Drosophila melanogaster: one gene and its partners. Changing the gene in region 4 together with the main gene of any one other region gives a genetic interaction. Each region holds a gene or a part of one and is shown on either strand. Other genes may lie near its edges. The genes, in order: Src42A, mim, Pvr and Cortactin.

Evidence for each region.
Region 1: of Cortactin (region 4) and Src42A, changing one suppresses a phenotype caused by changing the other (phenotypic suppression), as found in Drosophila melanogaster (one study listed by BioGRID).
Region 2: of Cortactin (region 4) and mim, changing one suppresses a phenotype caused by changing the other (phenotypic suppression), as found in Drosophila melanogaster (one study listed by BioGRID).
Region 3: of Cortactin (region 4) and Pvr, changing one suppresses a phenotype caused by changing the other (phenotypic suppression), as found in Drosophila melanogaster (one study listed by BioGRID).

Annotation. Positions count from the first base shown.
Region 1 is NT_033778.4:5,991,185-5,996,025, forward strand, and holds the start of Src42A (Src oncogene at 42A), read left to right. Parts: upstream 1-1,807; 5' UTR 1,808-2,193; intron 2,194-4,841. UniProt on the Drosophila melanogaster protein: Required directly or indirectly for the phosphorylation of drpr which is necessary for the interaction of drpr with shark and subsequent glial phagocytic activity.
Region 2 is NT_033778.4:6,968,590-6,973,602, reverse strand, and holds the start of mim (missing-in-metastasis), read left to right. Parts: upstream 1-1,965; 5' UTR 1,966-2,710; intron 2,711-5,013. Other genes in the region: Cyp6u1 (cytochrome P450 6u1), read left to right, coding at 1-815, 874-1,298.
Region 3 is NT_033779.5:8,236,856-8,241,549, forward strand, and holds the start of Pvr (PDGF- and VEGF-receptor related), read right to left. Parts: upstream 3,024-4,694; 5' UTR 2,837-3,023; exon of another isoform or gene 2,064-2,836; intron 1-2,063. Other genes in the region: Spn28F (serpin 28F), read right to left, coding at 3,610-3,746, 3,802-3,940, 4,000-4,694.
Region 4 is NT_033777.3:21,061,124-21,066,118, reverse strand, and holds Cortactin (cortactin), read left to right. Parts: upstream 1-1,647; 5' UTR 1,648-1,696; exon of another isoform or gene 1,697-1,755; 5' UTR 1,756-1,824; intron 1,825-2,007; exon of another isoform or gene 2,008-2,010; 5' UTR 2,011-2,054; coding exon 2,055-2,221; intron 2,222-2,289; coding exon 2,290-2,693; intron 2,694-2,784; coding exon 2,785-3,893; 3' UTR 3,894-4,439; downstream 4,440-4,995.

The DNA of each region.
Region 1 (4,841 bases), on a different chromosome or scaffold from region 4:
TGGGTCCGATTTTCCAAATAATTATAATTTCAGCTCATATGCAGCGAATTTAGTATTTTTTGAACCTCCGTATTCATTATTCATTAATAATTCAAGCCATCCTTTATTTTACTCCCGTTGCCACTATAGGCTGCAATTGTTATTGAACATGACATCAGAAAATGTCGTTGAACCCACGAAGAGAAGGCAATTGTTTTAGAGAGCCACATGCAAGAGCCGTGTCGGCATTTATTCATATTTCCCTGTGTTCATGCGTGGTGAAGTTCCGATTTAGTTGAGCGTTCTTCTTTCGGCTCAGGTGAAGTGTGTGTGTGTGTAGACAAATCATTCGAGTTTGTGGCAAGTCAATAATACTCAATAGAAGGCAATTGTTTTAATAATTTGTCAGTAGCTAAAAAAAAACATAAGTGACAACAGACTCGGTCGTCGCTCTCCAGGAAGGTCGAACGACTACATTTTAATTGACTCAGTGATATAGTGTTAATTTTTAGCTGATACGTCCGATAAAGACTACATATACTAACGGTGAACGTGTTGATGTTATAGGAATTTGAATTAGCGTAAAATTGCACAGGAAGCAAATATTCACCTAGTCTGGCTGGGCATTAATTGACTCGTAATTTACGTAGAGGTAAATACACACATTTCAATCAGATTAGGACAGTAGAAGGAGACGAAATCGCATTTTGTCGATACAGTTTGGTGTGTGGCTAGATTTGATTTCAGTTATACGACCTGTAAGCTGTGACTTTGTGCTGTAATATTGTAAAAGTTAATTTAAAATGAAAAAAGAATATACTGCTAAGTTAGATAACCGTATACTTCAGTGATATTGGCCATACTGCCTAACGTTTTTATAAAAGTGTCCTTTTATTTATTTATTTTGCATTACACAACCCGTTAAAGTTAACATTTAACACTTTCTGTTTACTTTTTATTTCCAGGTAAGTCCCAATATTTCAGTATTTAAGGGTTTTGTGGTCAGGGAAACGGAGAATCTGAGCCATCGACGTAAACACATGTGTTTATATGTGCACATGAATTTCTATTTACATAAGGGAGCTCAGGAACACTCATATTTGGTCAAGTGTTAAATCAAAGTGACTAACGACTATGTTTATAGATTTTGCCCTCCGACTTTTCGCAAAATATCCCCAGGTATTCGTTAATATATTCTTAATATTAAATGGTATGTCCAGGCGCGAGTCCCCACTGCGAGTCCCTTCTGGATTGGATACTAGCCATTAGTATTCCCACGATGTAGACTCTAATATTTTCTATTTCAGCAATGTTCCATAGCATACCTTATCAATGACGAGTTCAATGGCGTTCACAAGAACCCAAGCGGAGACATTTAGAAACAAATAATTTGATTTCCAGTGACGCGACAGTGCTGAGTTATTTTGGTTACGTGAACAAATTAATACAACCTGACATTTTGTCAGTAACAGCGACGAGTTAATTGTTTTCAACTCGATTTGATCTTTGCAATCAACGCACTTTGTGACTAATTGTTGTCGTAATTACAAAACTGTGCAGTTTATCTCGGAGCATCTTAAGAGAGAGGCACTTGGAGACGAAGAGCGAGACCACTCTTCGACGAGCCATTGGACTTCTGGGCCAAGATAAAAGAGACTAAGCACACAAAGATGGATCGAAGAGCGAGAGAGCGGGAACGGTTGGCCAACACGCGGGCAGCGAGCTTGGCTCAAATGGCACACACATAGATGCCAAGGCGGCGGGTGCGAGTGTGTCGGTGCGGTGGCAAGCGGTTAAAACCTTTCTATAAAAATTTCATAAACGTATCAGTTGTCTGCGAAGCGGTGCACAAAACGGACGTGTAAACGGAAGCCGCACGAAAACGGCTCGGAAATCGGAATAGCGCCCGTACACGCAGCACATAGGAAATCGAATCCGAATCTGAGTTAAATGCCTTAATCGAATTTGGCCAAAGCTCGCCTACCGCGCTTACAAGTTTTTTCGTTCACGGGCCGATGAAATCTATATAATCTATTATCCACAAGCCACCACAGAGCCACTAGATGCACTGTGCGGCGCATGCGCGACCTGTTTGTGTTGTTGGCATACTTCTAACAGTCAGTGTTTTCTTTGTTCAAAAGTGCCTCAAGTAAAACCCCACTTTGATATGGATAAGTGGTAACAAGAGCAGCAGTAGCAGCAAAACTGGAAAAGGTACAAGCCCAGGGAAGCTGCAGTGTGCGGAACATTCCTCTGGTGGATCCGAACTCAGAAAAAGATGGGAACAGAACTTTCTATTTTCTTTACTGTTTCGCGTGTGTTTCGCTGGTCATGCAAACATATTTTCTTTGCCTCGGCGCATGCCGCTGGAATTAGAACGGTGTATTCCGTGCGGAATACAAAGTCGAGCTTATTTCGTAAGAGAATTCCTGCGAATCTGGTTATGCAATGCCTGACAGCCCACAAAGTCGTCCTCAAGTTGTTGCGAACTTTATCGTTTACTATGTGCTAAAATGCACAACTGGCTTGCCAAACGGGTGATACATTTTTGTAAGTGCTAAAGCGCTCAGTTCCGTGCACATGAACTTTCTTATACACTGCTGTGCACTTCCACGGCGTTTTTTTTTTTCAGACACCATACCAGGCCTCAGAAATCATATCAATTTCGACTTACGTGACTTGGGCAAACTGCGCCATTTCGCACATATTCTTTGCGTTTAGGCTAAGATTTAAGTTGGCTCTCAGGCTTGGAATTAGCGGAGTTTAGGGCCTTCTTTTATATCGCTTTTCAGCCTTCTCTTGCTGCACTGTGCCGTGGTCGTAAATTTCCTGCGTCATGAGTCATGCCTGTCAGTCGGAGTCGCTTAACAACAGCAGTGGTAGCAGAAAAAAGATAAAGATACAGATACAAAATATTCAGTTGAAAAACACATGAAAATTGCTTTCATGGTATTGAGTGTGGAGCTCCAGATGAGCTAAAGAGAGGCAAAAAAGCTCATTGTTTATGGTAGCTGGCTTCGTGGTCCGCTCTTTGTTGTTGGCATTCCGAGCTGTAACCTCTGATTGTGATCCCTTCGAATTACTCCTTTCAGTTCATTGGTTCTCTCTTCAGCTCCTGCCACTTAAGCTATTAACTGTGGACCGTGCACTTTCCCAAAAACCTCTTATACATACGCTGACGATACTTTGTTTTCAGTTAGAATAAATAAATACAGTAAGGGAATAAAATAAATGTGGTTTTTAAAGCATATATGTGCAATCTCGGAGTCACGTTCCTACTGGAATATTTGCGTCGTCCTTGCACTTCTCTTTTTTGAGTAACGGGTATTTGTTAGTCAAAGAACTCGCTTTGGTGTTTTCTCTTGTTTTTTTAAGAGTGTTGGCGCCACAAAATATTTGATGAATGTGAAGGACGTTCAATTTCTTTTAGTTTCTCTCTTAAAAAAACAATTTTTTTATTAAATTAAGTACACGAATGTCGCGGATATTAATATATATGAAAAGTTCGACATATCGAATAAATTCGAATTCCATGAGTGGAAGGGAACTAAGTCTCGTCACCATTGTGCAATGACCTAAATCACGGTCATAAAATCAAAGCCAAACTTTTTTTTACCATAAGTTTTGTTGTGTTGGTTGAGGTTGTCGGTCAATGGCTATGTTTTTGCTGGCCAAATAGCTTACTTTTGATTTCCACATTAATGGAGCGCAGCAAGCGAATCACAATGTTATTTGCATTAAATTTTTTTGGAGTCACGGAGAAAGTACGCACAAAAGCTATAAATTAGACGGCATCACACAGCTTCTTAATTCCTATCGCTCTCTTGCAATGATTCACTTTTTTTTGGCTACGCAACGTAGACTCGCTCACAGATTTGGCTGAAAACCATCATGTCGAATGGCAACAGAAAGAGTTAGTGTTTGATTTTCGAGGTTTACTAGTTGTGGATTGGCGCACTAGAAGGAAATAACAAAAAAGCAGACAAACATAAAAAACGTTAAACCGGTTCAATTTGGGTCGTAGTACCTTTGAGTGCAATTGTTACCTTTCAGAAACAACGACAACAAAGACTTCGCCAATCGCACTCCATTCCACTCGCTCTGCAGCTCATTATACCCGTTATTATGTTCGTCTTGTTCAGTTTTCTTGGCACGCGTTACCGTAAAAAAAAAAAACTCCCACACAAGCAACCGAAAACACATCGAGCGATATTTTGTAATGACCATGCTTCGAATCGGTTACCATAGGTCAGTCAACAAGTTCGGTGTGAGTTGAGCTTTTATTCAGGGATAAACGCACCGTAGTCTTTTTGTTCATACTCGGTTAGTAACAAAAACTATACAAATCTTTAAAACACTCGAACAATTTTGGTCTTTTTGTACAACTTAACGTATGTAAGAATGTGTAAAATATTGTAAAACACAACGATTTTCTACTAATGTTTTTAAAACATTTTAAAGATATTTTTAAAATATCATATACCGATTCCTCTGAAGTCCACCTACGGCTGTCTAATTCGCTAGATGTTGACTGTAAAAGGTACAGGGTTTTAAAATTGTTTCAATAAAGCAAAATGTTCCCGGATATGTTTCGATCAAGAATATATATATATATATACATTTTATATATACTTTTCAACGAATCTAATTTCCGCTTTTTATCTTCAACTACAGGAATAAAAATATAATTTCTTGGTACACGACAGTATTAGTCCTTGACGTCCGACTCGTGACAAAAACTGCTAAAAGATATAGATTACTATATGCATCAGAGCTTTCAATAGCCTTTCGAAAACAAGACGGGTTCAACTGGTTTTATACAACGTCGTTGCTGTTATGGTTATTGTTGGTGTTTATCGTTA
Region 2 (5,013 bases), on a different chromosome or scaffold from region 4:
CTACGCCTGCCTCAAGCCGTTCATCTTGGCGCTGGACCTGAAGCTAGTCCACCAAATAATCTTCACCGACGCGGGACACTTTACGTCCCGAGGCCTTTATAGTAATCCCAGTGGAGAGCCGCTGTCGCATAATCTCCTTCAGCTGGACGGTCACAAGTGGCGGTCACTGCACGCCAAATCTGCAGAGGTTTTCACTCCGGCCAACATGCAGAAGCTGCTGGTCAGACTGTCGCAAATCTCCTCCAGAATTCAAAGGGACCTGGGCGAAAAGAGCCTTCAAACTATCAATATAAGCGAACTCGTGGGTGCATACAATACGGACGTTATGGCGTCAATGGCCTTTGGACTAGTAGGGCAGGATAACGTGGAGTTCGCTAAGTGGACGCGCAACTACTGGGCGGACTTTAGGATGTGGCAGGCTTATCTGGCGCTTGAGTTTCCGCTCATCGCTCGCCTTCTTCAGTACAAAAGCTACGCAGAACCTGCTACAGCTTACTTCCAAAAAGTGGCCCTGTCGCAGTTGCAGTTGCATCGAAGAAGGGATCGCCAGCCACTCCAGACCTTTCTGCAGCTATATTCCAACGCAGAAAAGCCGCTCACCGACATCGAGATTGCGGGCCAAGCCTTCGGCTTCGTTCTGGCTGGCTTGGGCCCCCTGAATGCCACCCTAGCATTCTGCCTCTACGAGTTGGCCCGCCAGCCTGAGGTGCAAGATCGAACCAGGCTCGAGATTAACAAGGCACTGGAGGAGCATGGTGGCCAAGTGACACCGGAGTGCCTAAGGGAGCTCAGGTATACGAAGCAAGTCCTCAATGGTGAGTACCAAATATTGAAAAGCTCTTTATAGCTCCAATGACTTCACCTTTTTTTTAGAAACGCTTCGCCTGCACACTCCACATCCCTTCCTGCTACGCCGGGCTACCAAAGAATTCGAAGTGCCCGGATCGGTGTTTGTAATTGCCAAAGGCAACAATGTGCTGATACCAACGGCGGCGATACACATGGATCCTGGCATTTATGAAAACCCCCAGCGGTTCTACCCGGAGCGCTTTGAGGAACAGGCAAGGCGATCCCGCCCGGCAGCTGCGTTCCTGCCTTTCGGCGATGGCCTGCGAGGATGCATTGCCGCTCGCTTTGCAGAGCAGCAGCTTCTGGTGGGCCTGGTGGCTCTGCTGAGGCAGCACAGATACGCTCCCTCTGCGGAGACCTCGATTCCCGTGGAGTACGACAACCGGAGACTGCTCTTGATGCCCAAGTCGGACATCAAACTCAGTGTGGAACGGGTGGACAAGCTTTAAAGGAGGCTCTGCTGGAGCATCGCATATTTTGTATTGTTTGCTTTACAAAGCGTTTAAGTTGTTTTTATATTTGTATATGCACCTTTTTCGTTGATTTTCCTAAGCTGTGGACTTGTGTGATAATGCTGACGATGACTTTTATAATCTTTTGCACCAAGCTCAACAACGTGAACAAATAAATAATTTAGTTGTTATATCGAACACTTTCATACCATCGGAAAATAGGACTCTTAAAAAGAATTCTATGCATAAAAGGTGAATTTGCAGCAAATGCAGAGGCCATTATTTAAAGTAAACGACGTTAAATTTATATAATTTGTTTTCAATCTATAGAATTCATGGTTTTCCAAATTAACACTCATTTAGCCCGAGTGCTTAGTTAATGTCTTCGGCACTTCCGTTTCCTAGGAACTCTACTCTAAAACATGAGTTATTCTCTTCAAATTTTTATAACAAAATTTTTGGTTTTTTATTCAATTGACTTTTATGTCAACTGGAACATCGAACGCGCCAAAAATAACCATATTTTCAATTTTAAAAGTTTGCATGATAGGTAACATTCCCGATTCGCAGAACGGTTAACAGCGAATGTGACCTCGCTGCCAAGTGATTTTTCCTAGACGTGGTCACACTACAGAGGTGTATTTTCCCAGCTTCGAGCGATGGTCACACTGACCCAGACACTCGACTCTCGAACGAATCGGTCGCGGTTGTTTTACGGTTTTTTGTTTGTCTATAGGAAAGCCCTTTCGCACCGGAGGAAAACGAAAATGCGCTCGGAAAGTCAGTCGTAGACTTGGCGAAAATAGCGGTTGCAGCGGCAAACTTCTAACTGTTTTCTAACCGGAAAAGGAATGCGCGAACCAATTGGAAGTGCAGTTCGAAGTGCGAGCATATAAGTGTCAGATTCGGTGCAAAAATAAGCGAATAATTGTTTGCGATTTCCCGAGGAAAACGGAAAATTAAGCGTCTGTCTGCCAGCCCACTGTGTGCGTGTGTGTACGTGTGTCTGTGAGTGTATAACATAACAGAAAACAAAACAACAACAACAACAGCAGCAGCAGCAACAACAAGGCAGTCAGGATCAACGGTTCTGGGGTAGTTTGTTTGAGTTTGAACAAAGCAAAGAAAAGCAAATGCAAAAGCAAAGCACACGAAACTGGGCGTAAGAAGGAGAGAGAGGAAATAGAGGGGAATAACGGGAGAATACACCCCGCTCGCACTCACAACCGCTTCTATCCTTTGTGTGCGCTTTTGCCGCCTGGAAATGCAATGCTAGAACAACAACAACACCGTGACCGCAGAAGTGCAAGCATCAACATCATCGCCTAATTGTCTGCAACATCGTCGGCCGAAAAATCAAGCAAGCTGCATAAAGTCGCCCTGCGATATTTTACAGTCGGAAGTGCACCGTAAGTATCCTTCAAGAACAACAAAAAGAATCGAGTGTGGGCTAATAATGCCAATTACTGGGGTTGGGAGAGGGGCGAAGAGCGTTGGCTAGGGGGATGGAGTAAGGGGAGGGAATGGAAGCTGCAGTTCACCAACAACAAGTTTGGACCGATTCCAGGTCCAAGGACTTCCAGTGACCATTCCAGGCGGTCGTGAGAACCGAAAACTCCGTTCACGGCCAATCCAAACAGGATTTGTTATACACGTTAAAAAAAAGGAGTTTCATAAAAAATGTTTAGGTTTTATATATTTGTAATTTTGTTTTGAAGAAAACATATCTTTGATGGCCAGCAACATAATAATAATAATAATTTCTATAACAAAATCAACAACCAATTTCATGTAACTAATTCTTTTTGTAAGATAAATTAGTGAATTATTAAACCTCTTGAAGTCAAACAATATACATTTAGTGATTTTTGACAAATTGTGCCAATGAAGTGCTGTGAAGTGTTTTCGGTCCACAAAATTTGTGCGAAGTCAGATTTTCCGATTTTTCGACTGCCATAAAGTTTTCTCTGTGCACAACTCCCCTTTTGAAGTTGCGCGGTAATTGCGCAAGTGCAGGGACTTCTCTTTGGACTGTGTTACCTGAACTCGGTTTATCTGAACAAGCTAATTTTTTGTCCGACTCCGAATGGGTCGTTTTTTCGCGAGGTGGCGGCTTTGTGTTCCTTTCAACCCGTAATCGCAACAGGAACCGGAGCGGCACGTTGACACCCATGGTGCGGACTAAATGCTCGAAAGTTGAGTTCCCATTCCCGGCTCCCTTATCGCACGTCTCGTTCTCTTTGCATACCTTTCAAACGACTTTTGTGCGCGCCGTCAAATGGAGCAGATAAGCGTAATTATTAAAATATTATTGCCGGGGTTTGTTTACGTCCCGGGAATGTTTTCTCGCGCATTTGTCTAAACAAATGATGCAGAACTTTCCAGCAACGGAGACCGTTTGGCCTGAAATGTCGGCCGGTGCATTCGCCAAGTCGCTATATCGTATATACTATACGCTGCTTAGACACAAAGTAGTACTCAAATTCGAAAGGATGCCTTGGGCTATCTGATTCGCGTGGAGTAACCCAATCCGCAAACCATCCAACTGCCGCACCTGTGCAATTGCCAAAAACGAGAGAATCCAAAACAACAGAGGGTCTCAGAAAGAAAGATAAAATTAGCCACAAACAGCTGTCGGCCATTGGCAAGAAACTTGCTCCTGCACCGAGAGAAAAAACCTGTATTTCGAACGTGATCGTTTGGAGGAAACCTAAATGTTTTACCTAAATTGGAAAATCATACATTTTGATATACTAAGAGAAGGAAATTAATGTTCCTTCTTACTAAAATGATAAAAATATAAAAATAAGTGAAATATTATAATTTGAAAACGAGCAACTTTTTTCGGTGATCTTACTACGCTTATATAAACAGAAACCAGGCACTTGCGCCTTAACAAAATGCAAACAGAAATTCACAAAAGCAGAAAAACAAATACCAGTGAATATAAAAAAATATTGTGTCCTATGGAGAAAGGCCGCTCCAACTGACCAACCCCCACCTCCACCTCCGTTGCATAGAAACAACAACATTCTTTCACAAGCACGAGAGCAAGGCCAAAACAAAGGAAAAACGTTAACTGTTTGTTGTGCAAATATGTTTTCTCATTGATGGTTTTCGAAAAATTAATACTCGTAATATTTTGAATGTTCTTTAGCCTACTGTAAACACAAAACCCCCATTCAGTATTTTAGCTGGATCACTTCAGTTCTAAAGGCGCTAATAGTTTTTCCCACTAAATGTAAAATAATTGGTACATTATTCATATATCTTTAATACTCGCCTTTCGGAACCGCTGTTACGTCCTCTTTACATTATAATGCGGCAACTGTTTTCAATTGGTAAACAAGAAAAAACGGCTGAAAACTTGTAAAACTTTTAAGTCACTTAGCCTGAATGTCTGCATTTGTTTAGCATGTCGCTGCGCTGCTGCAATTCGAGTTTCTCGCTGCCCACTCACAAAAAGATTTTCGTTTTCGTTTGATTGGTGAACTGCATGGGCGTTCCTTGTTGTTTGAATGAATCTGAGTTCGAATGAGTCCGCGACTCTAGACTGCTGGATCGCCCACTCGAGTGGAATCTTTCGTAACCACTTTCGATTTTCGGGGTTCGTCCTAATGAAAATCGTGTCTAATCCAACCCGAGATTCGCCTTCGCCTCAAGCGGTTTTCACTTGGGGTGGGCTGCGTGCGGCTGAATTGCGCTGGCAGAG
Region 3 (4,694 bases), on a different chromosome or scaffold from region 4:
TCACTCGAGAGATTTGGAAAAGTTGTTTCTTTTCTTTTCCATAAACTGGGAACTTAATAAAAATAATAGAAAGACCATTGCCGGTGAAATTGAATCGTTGGCATTCTGCCCACATATTATACAACTACAACGCGTGGCGACAACAAGTTGGTTGGTTGGCCAGCTGCTGGCGAATAAATAGAAATGTTATATGCGTTCACTTAATAGCCGACAAGTGTTTAATTTGTTTGTTTTGGGTTTCGCCCGATTAATAAATAAATATGGCCAATGTATATAGCCCATTTAGTGCCTCGCCGTGACCTCAAAACATGGCTCAATTTTATGCGATTTGTTTACTCAATGCATTTTTTGTTTTGACTGGCTGGCTGCCTTCTGCCATTTTATTCCCGACGGAAATAAGATTGCTTTTATATATATATATACATATATTTTCTTATTTCCCTGATTCTCCGAAGTGCACTTGATTACGTGCAGTTTATGGGGCAGATAAAATTTTCCCAACGAATGGGCTTTAGTCTAAAGTTTCCAGCGCTTATGAATGGGCTTTAGTCTAGGGCTCAGGTGAAAGCCAATTGCCTGCTTAGCCTTTTTTTTTGCAGATTTATGGCCAAGTTATTTCCACCTCTCCATGCAGACAGTTACAATGGCCTGGCCAAAACATTTGTTGTCCGCTGTCAATTTATTATTTGTTATTTATTATTTACGTTCTGACTCAGACCACGGCGGATGTAAAGAGGCGAAGGTGTCCATTCATAGAATGCCAAACCAACCAACCAACCAGCCAGCCAACCAACAAAGTGGTGTGAAAACGTGTTCAATGCTGGCCGAGATTGTCCAACGAATCGGTTTTATTTATGGCTTATTGGTAACCGGCAAATTCAATTAAACAGATATTATCTTAAATGGAAATTTATGAGCCAATTCGCCCAAAGAGTTAAGGGGTTTCTCAAAAATGTTTCAGCTTATCCGAACTGCCTTAGAGAAACGCAAAATGATTTTTCTCTCTACAGATGTACAAAATGTACCTAAACTCAATTCTAGTGTTTTTATCTACAACAGGAAGTCAATCTTCTGTGCATAAGCAATCCTCTTGAGATTAAAAAGATCTCTTGTGCAATAATACATATCAGCATTCTAAATATCTCTAGAGATATTACAATCGCTTGAAATGCACACAAATTCGTTGTCACACACATTCTTTGATTATTTTGAAGTCTATTTTCGGCGAGTTCTGCTTAAATATTTTGTGTGTATTTATAATTAGTTTCTATTAATGCGAAAGAACTACTTTGTTCATTTTTTCCAGTGCATACAAAGTAATTTATTCGTAATGGAGCTCTCTACTTCAGCACAATCAACTACAGTAAAGTATCTCTAATTTGACACCCACTGCGGGGGGCGGGGCAGGTGTGCGTATCTGGTGGATACTTGGCCATAAGCCCCACCTGATTAATGTGCCATGTGCATAATGGGTAGGTGTGAAAAAGAGGTGCAAGTGGCCAGTAGCAATGTGATGGGTGCACATTTTCCAAGAACCACTAGTATCCATTGATTATTCTGGCTTATCACAACAGTTGTTCAACGCTTGATGCCAGGTGAATTGCGAATTTGGCCAGGGGAATTACAATAAATATTTCATCAACACCATTCGCGGACATTTTTATGACTCCAAACTTTGACGATTCGTAGCAGTTTTGTACCACATTTTCCGGACATTGAGAACGATGGCAATTAACAACAGCCTGGGCTGGGCAGCCTTTTGAAGTGGCCAGAGATAAATGGAGCAGTCGGCAAACTGAAGGAGGTCTGTATTCAATAAACAAATTGGGCACAGTGTGCAATTGGAGGCAATGAATTATGGGCATCTGATTTGATCAGAACTTCTCGATCCTGAGTCACGTATTGGGGGAAAATGTATCAACAGTTCGTTTGGTCAAGAAACGGATGGCGTGGAACCGGTTTAAGAAAGTCGCTATAGACACATTCAGTTGACCAGGCAAACAAAAGAAAGGTGAACCCTTTCTTCTATATATATATGTACATATATATGTATATATACCAACTTTATTTGGGTGTTTCTGGAAAAGCAGTATGAGTAAATTCGAAATCCATCGTAGTGTTATTCATATTTTCATAGTCTTACGCAGTCTACCGTTTGATCGCAGCAGCTTGGCAACAACAACAACTATTGAAGATACAACAACAACTTTTGAACGTACAACAGTCACGATCGGCGATGAATCACGATTTGAATACCTGGCACCGGTGGATGTTTGCAGTCTTGATTACTTGGAATGCCGCTGACGTATTCACCATAGACACACGCACACTTTTCGTAGACCCAACACTTATATGCACTTATCAATGAATAATACCAGGCAGTGATAATAGCACACACACACACACACGCACTTAGAAAAAGGTCACTGATAATAGTTCATTATGTACACCATCTATAGGAGCATAGTGACCATGACTATTTTGGGTGTTTTTTTTTTGTATAATTGCATCGAATTGAGCAACATCACGAGCGCCGAATTCGATTTCGATTTTCGAGCTTACGATTGACAATCACTTAGAACTCTTGTCAACCACCTGTGGCTGAGTTTGCACTTGTATTCGAATTCCGATTCGTATCTGTGTTTGTTTTTTACTTTTGCGAAGGTGTGGGGGTTCGCTCACATCGATATCTAAACTTTTGAGTGCGGATTCATTTGCTTAGCACCTTTGATGCTTCACTTATACTTATATACGACACGATTTGGTTTCGTTTCCACACGATTCTATATCTATATTATCGGACGTATCTTCGAGCCTTTCAAAAATTAACGCTTACGTTGTGGTTTTCTGTGCTTAACACTTTCTGCGTGGGGCACTTCAGCAGTATCGGTTGCTCTTGAAAGACAATAAATACTGCGTCGTCGGCAAAGTTTGAACAGTTTGCACCGAACACAAGTCAAAAGCCCGCGAAATTTCCTTCCGCTTTGACGTCCGAACAGCTCGAAAAGTTAACGTTAACTAGAGCTGGGGCACTATCGACGGTACTATCGAGGTATCCGATTCGATTGTTATTTTTTGCTATCGATGAGCGTTATCTACAGCATGTAGAATAGAACGGATAGAATAATATTTTTGTTATATCTTTAGTCAACATCATTTGAATTTTCTTGTTTCGTTAGGGAGTTTATCTCTCGTTTAGTTTCCTTTTATTATTATTTCATTATTATTTTGAAAGGTGAAGTGTACTAAATAACGAGCTAAAAATTGAACGCAATCACGCTATTCGCGGCGATGCCAGACCGCTTGAAAACAGTTCCAGTTGGCCAGTGGCGGCCAGTGATGCCATGCGTACTAAATTTCCTAACGGTTTTAGTTTTAGATCGAAGTGCTTAAAATAAAGTTTTCTTTTATTAAATAATATTTAGTATCATTTAAGCATTTCTAACGATTTGTCAGCTGAGTAAGGGGATTGTGATTTATAAGGGTCTCGACTATAGCATTTTCACTACTTTCCACCTATTAAATATTTTCAGGAAACTGGTAAATCCTTTTATTCTACAATAAAGTATAATACAATTTCCATTTATTATTGATAAGAAATAGTACATTTTATTCATTCGGTTTCACAAAGTGGCCCTGGAAATAAATGGTTTCCCTATCGCGAATGACATAGGCAAAAGGATGATCGGCATTAAAAACCATTTGAGATGACGGCATAGGCATACTATAGCGCACGAAAAGTAAAGCTGGCAAAAATAAAACATATTATACAAATATATATATAATAAAATTATATCATACCTGTTGCAGCCGCTGCCTCAGCTCCTTCTTCATTAACCTCGATGAACGCCTTATGAATGACTTTTTTCACATGAACGTTACTGTTTTCGACCAGATCTTTGAAGTCAGCAGATTTTTCGAACGCATCTTGTATGCCCATCTATAGATGAATATCTATAAATTGTAAGGGTGTATCAAGAATAATCTGTGAATACTCACCGCCACAAGAACTTTGTTTAGTTGAGCGAAGAATTCGATTTTAAACTTGGGAAGCCTTAAAGTTACATCCATTTTGGAAAGTTTCGGTTTGAATCCTACAATCTTTTTCTCCAGCTCTGATAGTCCATCGACCTGGTCCGGTAGAAAAATTAGCATGGACAGGCTTGAATTTCTGTAGGGCAGCTCGATAATTTTGGCACCCAGTTCACTATCATGTGCGGCCCTAAATGATTGAAATAGTGACATCATCTCGACAGGAACACTCTTTTGATCCGAAACACGGAAATTCCTCTTCTTCGTTAACTTGGGATTAAATTTGTACTCCCACTGGCCTTTAAAGTATATGGCATTTAAGACGATCAATTCCATTTTCGACATGTCATTGGATGAAACTAAGTCTTTGATTTTACCACGCGTCTGATTATCTACCCAATTATTGACAATTGAAGAAGCCTTATTGGGATCGACAATGTCGATTGCCTCCGCTTCAGCCATAAATGAATCCTTGACCATCTGATTGTAACTCGGTACTAGCTGGAACTTTTTGTTCACGTATATGCGATTAGCCAAACTGAGAGTGGCTACCTTCTCGCGTCCTTCGAGTTTACTCAGAAGGTCCTTGTATTTGGCTGCCACTTCCTTTTTGTCATCGGGCAGTTTCAAAACATTCCTCATTTCTTGGGCTGTCTTTGCCC
Region 4 (4,995 bases):
TAGGTGTAAAAACTGGAATAGCTCGTGACCATGTGTGAAAAACTCCATAAACAAAAGCTTTTGCCAACTTCTTTTGGAGACCTCGATGGACTGTACCTCGAAATGTTTCAAAAATGTTTTGCAAATGCACTGAGCAATTCACTTAGTAATAAACCTTGATGACACACCTATTCTACTATAATTGCACGGCCTCGAGTACACTACTACTATATTTTGTGGACGGTGGAATGTGGCCACATCCGATTCCGGTGAGTAATGCTGAGCAAGGCACAGGCGCTCATACACAGTGCTTACTGTAGTTTGAAGTGCCTGTCGGGCAATTGAAGTTGATTGAATTACTAAATTAAGCAGGGCACTGGGGGATAGAGATATTTCGAAAAATTCCGCTTCTCATTCCTACGTAAAATGGGAAAGCAAGAAAGGAACAGAAAAGTTTACTTAGATTTCGTCGGAGATGAGAAAAGTCACACGCGTCGCGAGAGAAAACGCCAAAAGAGTGGGGCTTTTGCTTTTGAGTTTGATGATGTCATCTTTCGGTTTTGAATTTTTCTCCCACCCGAGGCTTTTATTATTGAAATATAAAGTAAATAGAGAAACAAGATTCTGGAGAATTCTCGCGATACCGCACCCACAACTAGAATTCTACAAAATGCCCATTTTGGAATGGCACAAATGAAAATTATCTTTGAGTGTTTAGCACACACTTTCTTTTCTCACTTTTCCGACTGATTTTCCGCTTGATTTTTTGCGATTTCTGGCACAGCGAGAGTAAACAATGAGTTTTATCTACAAATTCCTTTTGATTTACCAATGATATTCGATTTTCAACGTACAAGTCAGACGATGCGAACTGCAAGCGATGTGAATAAATACCATAGCTGTTTGCGCTCCGTCTTTGGCTTTTATACTCGCGCTCTCTCGCTGGAAGTCGATTAGAGATGAACCAACCGGCGATAGGTTGTTGTTGCTAGGAAATATTCGGTGGTAGCGCCTAACTGGAAGCTGGTATCTTCTGCGTCGTCATAGTATACACCGTAGAATCTAAAGTGTTCCGAGATGGATGAATCATCGGCATTGGAAGCTGTTGAGACATTCATGATATTTCCGTTGTGATAATGACGACATTGGGAAAATAAGATCTGATTACGCATTGAATTTCAAAATGTAACCTTTGACTTCAATATTCAGCCGTTAGGGCAATACAGTTAAATAAATATCCTGTTCCTTCCTAAGCCGTTTTATAACTATTTTTATTTGTATTTTTATAACTATATATAAAAACCAATTACGTTAATTGTCAGCCGACATCGAAGCAAATTCAAATCCAAAACTATCGATATATCGATGATATGTTTGCGGTTATATGAAAAAAGTCAACTCTTATACCTGTTAATTACCGTTCTGGCAGAATCTTATTAATTATACAAATTACTATGGCGCCACTTGGTATAACATCAAATACCTTTTGCCCGAGCACTCAGTTCTATTGATCACGATCACATATATTGGTACTGCAGTATATATCGGTGCATTGACTTATCGAATAAAGTAAAAGAACCACGACTGTATCTCTTAATCATTTAAATTGGGCGCCCCTAAAACTGCAGCAACTACCTTTTGTCAAGCTCATCACAATAATTTATCGGCTTTTCGTAGCATATCGATGCATCCATTGTATCGAATGAAATTTAGTTCAGTTAGTTTCCCGTTTGTTGGTCTCTTTATGAATCAATTGTTTAACCCTTCTCCTCCCAGAAATTTGCAGACATCCCTAGCGGCATCAGATCATAAGTTCCTCTTGCAGTAGGAGTTAGTCATCGGGATGTGAGTATACATATGAACATAGAGCGCCAGTGGCATCTTGTTCCCGATCCGGCTTTGTCGGCCCCTCCCTTCTTCGGTGTTTTGTGACTTGTTATCTGGGCCACGAATCGGAAGCGGAGCCCCTGCAACTGAAAACCTGCCCCGACTACTCACACTCGTCATGGTGTTTATCTATCTACCCAGCAGATAAGGATAAGCGAGTAACCAGCGACCAGAAACCGGTAAAAAGAATGTGGAAGGCAAGTGCCGGTCACCAGATTCAGGCCACCAGTGCAGCCTCCGCGGAGGACGACGACTGGGAGACGGATCCGGACTTCGTGAACGATGTCAGTGAGCAGGAGCAGCGCTGGGGATCAAAGACGATCGACGGCAGCGGTCGCACAGCAGGCACCATCGAGTGAGTCATCCGAAATTCTCGAAACACTGGGTATCGGGTTCATTGTTCCCTTTCTTTATTCTTTTTAGCATGGACAAGCTGCGCGAGGAGACGGAGCAGGCCGATCTGGACAAGAAGAAGCAGCTGCTGAAGGATCAGAACGCAGGATACGGATACGGGGGCAAGTTTGGCGTTGAGAAGGACCGCATGGACAAGTCGGCTGTGGGTCATGACTACCAGGGCAAGGTGGGAAAGCACGCCTCGCAGAAGGACTACAGCGATGGTTTTGGGGGAAAGTTCGGAGTGCAAGAGGATCGCAAGGACAAGTCTGCCGTGGGCTGGGACCACGTCGAAAAGGTCGAGAAGCACGCCTCCCAGAAGGATTACGCCACCGGCTTCGGAGGCAAATTTGGAGTGCAGTCCGATCGGGTGGATAAATCCGCCGTGGGCTGGGATCACATCGAGAAGGTGGAGAAGCACGAGTCTCAGAAGGGTAAGTTACCTAACGGAAATGAATTTCTCATTGATTTTTTCTTAGTATGTTCATGTCTGATTATTTTATTTATATCTTCTCCCAACATAAGATTACTCCAAGGGCTTTGGCGGCAAGTTTGGCGTTCAGGAGGACCGAAAGGACAAGTCCGCGGTGGGATGGGACCACAAAGAGGCTCCGCAGAAGCACGCCAGCCAGGTGGACCACAAGGTCAAGCCAGTCATCGAAGGTGCCAAGCCTTCCAATTTGCGTGCCAAGTTCGAGAATCTGGCTAAAAACTCCGAGGAGGAGTCACGTAAGCGGGCCGAGGAACAGAAACGTCTCCGTGAGGCCAAGGACAAGCGGGATCGGGAGGAAGCCGCCAAGAAGACTGTGGCCGAGAACACTCCTCGTACCTCGACGGAAGCACCGCCTCCAAAGGGCAGCAGGGCGGCCATCCAGACAGGTCGGACCGGTGGCATTGGCAATGCTATCAGTGCATTTAACCAGATGCAGTCGCCTGTTTCTGAAACCCCTCCAGCACGAAAGGAACCCATTATCATTCCCAAGGCGCAGCCTGTTAAAATAGAATTAGAAGCAAAGGAGGAGCCAACGGCAAGTACAACATCAGCTGCGGTTGCTCCTACTCCGACAGTGGTCCCCGCTCGAGAGCCGGAAACAGCTCCAGTGGCCAAGGCTGCAGCTCCACCACCAGATGTGGTGCCCCAAATTGAGGTTGAGACCGTGGACACGCCTCCCAGAAGTGAGCCGCAATCACCAGTGTATGTGCCGACGCCTCAACCCGAAGTCCACGCCCAAGTCCAAGTCCAACCTGAGCCGCAACCTCAAGCCGATCCTGAGCCAGTAGTTGAAGAAGAGCCACTGTACCAGAACCAGGCCGAGATTAAGGCTGCCTCGCCCTTGCCACCAACGAATGGAACCGTTTCAGAGGCTGTTGCTCCGAGTGGCACCGCAACCGTTCCCGAGGAGGCAATCTACGCGAACTCAGACAATTTGGCCGACTATCTGGAGGACACCGGAATCCACGCCATTGCCCTGTACGACTACCAGGCGGCGGATGACGACGAGATATCCTTTGATCCAGATGACGTGATCACCCACATCGAGAAGATCGACGATGGGTGGTGGAGGGGATTGTGCAAGAACCGCTACGGACTCTTTCCAGCCAACTACGTGCAGGTGGTGGGACAGAACTCATAAAAGCTTCCAATTGAAATTCACGATAGAACAAAATCAAATTGTATTTACATACTAACGAAAACGATAATACTGATGTTGGATTATAAACCATATAAACCAATTCGCAACTAACCCAGCCCATTTCCCATCCATTGTTTACCCTCTTAACCCTCCAAATTATGTGCAACGAATGGCTAGATATTGAATTATTATTGTAATTTGTTATGCTAGCACTTAAAGTAACCGTGGTATTCCATTTTTGATATATGTATCATTTATTGCATTTTACATTCTTTGTATTTAACACATTTATTTTACCAAGAAAATATGCCAAGCTATTTTAGATATCTCTCATTTCATATTTTATGCATTAGTTATGATATTTGTGTCAAGTAACGATTTTGGTTTTTTTGAATTGTATAAAGTCTACGAGAGTTTCCCGTGTCAGGTGATCTGATCTAATGTTAAAGACGGATCTAATGTTGAAGACAGTCACAAACAAAAAGTCTGCTCTTTTGATAAAGAAATACATAATTAATAAAGTTAAATAATAACGAGTTCTCTCTTAAATTGTGGTACTGATAGTTCGGGTGTTTTTGTTTTTTTTTAAGGCCTAACAAATCATTTTACTAAGTAAAATGATTTCATTGGATACGGGAATTCACAAATTTCTATAAGAAGATAAGAACGAGCATATTGTTGGGTTCCTTCTAATATCACGAGGATATCTCTATTTTGGGGTAGAACTGTCAAGGCCTTTCTTGGATGGGCCGAATTCTTATCTGCCTGTTCCGAACGCATCGTAATCTGGCAAAGTAGAAATTGTTACATGAAACGAGCTACTGACATGATTCATGGTGCAAATGTGAGTGCATATGGGCTCAACAAAGAAAGAGTACTTTGCATTGTGGTGATTAATTAGTTAAAAAACATACATAAGTAGGATGTACGGCCATATTGTAAATTTGAGCGCCAATCCCAAAAAGACTTGATAAGATTTATCGCAATTATTGGCGACGGATCGTAATCGAAAAAAGTGTCAGACGAAATCAAAGTTTTGACTGATAAAGTTGATGTATAAATTAAACTTCAAGGAGGTATTACGATAAAGTGTGCGTGTTGG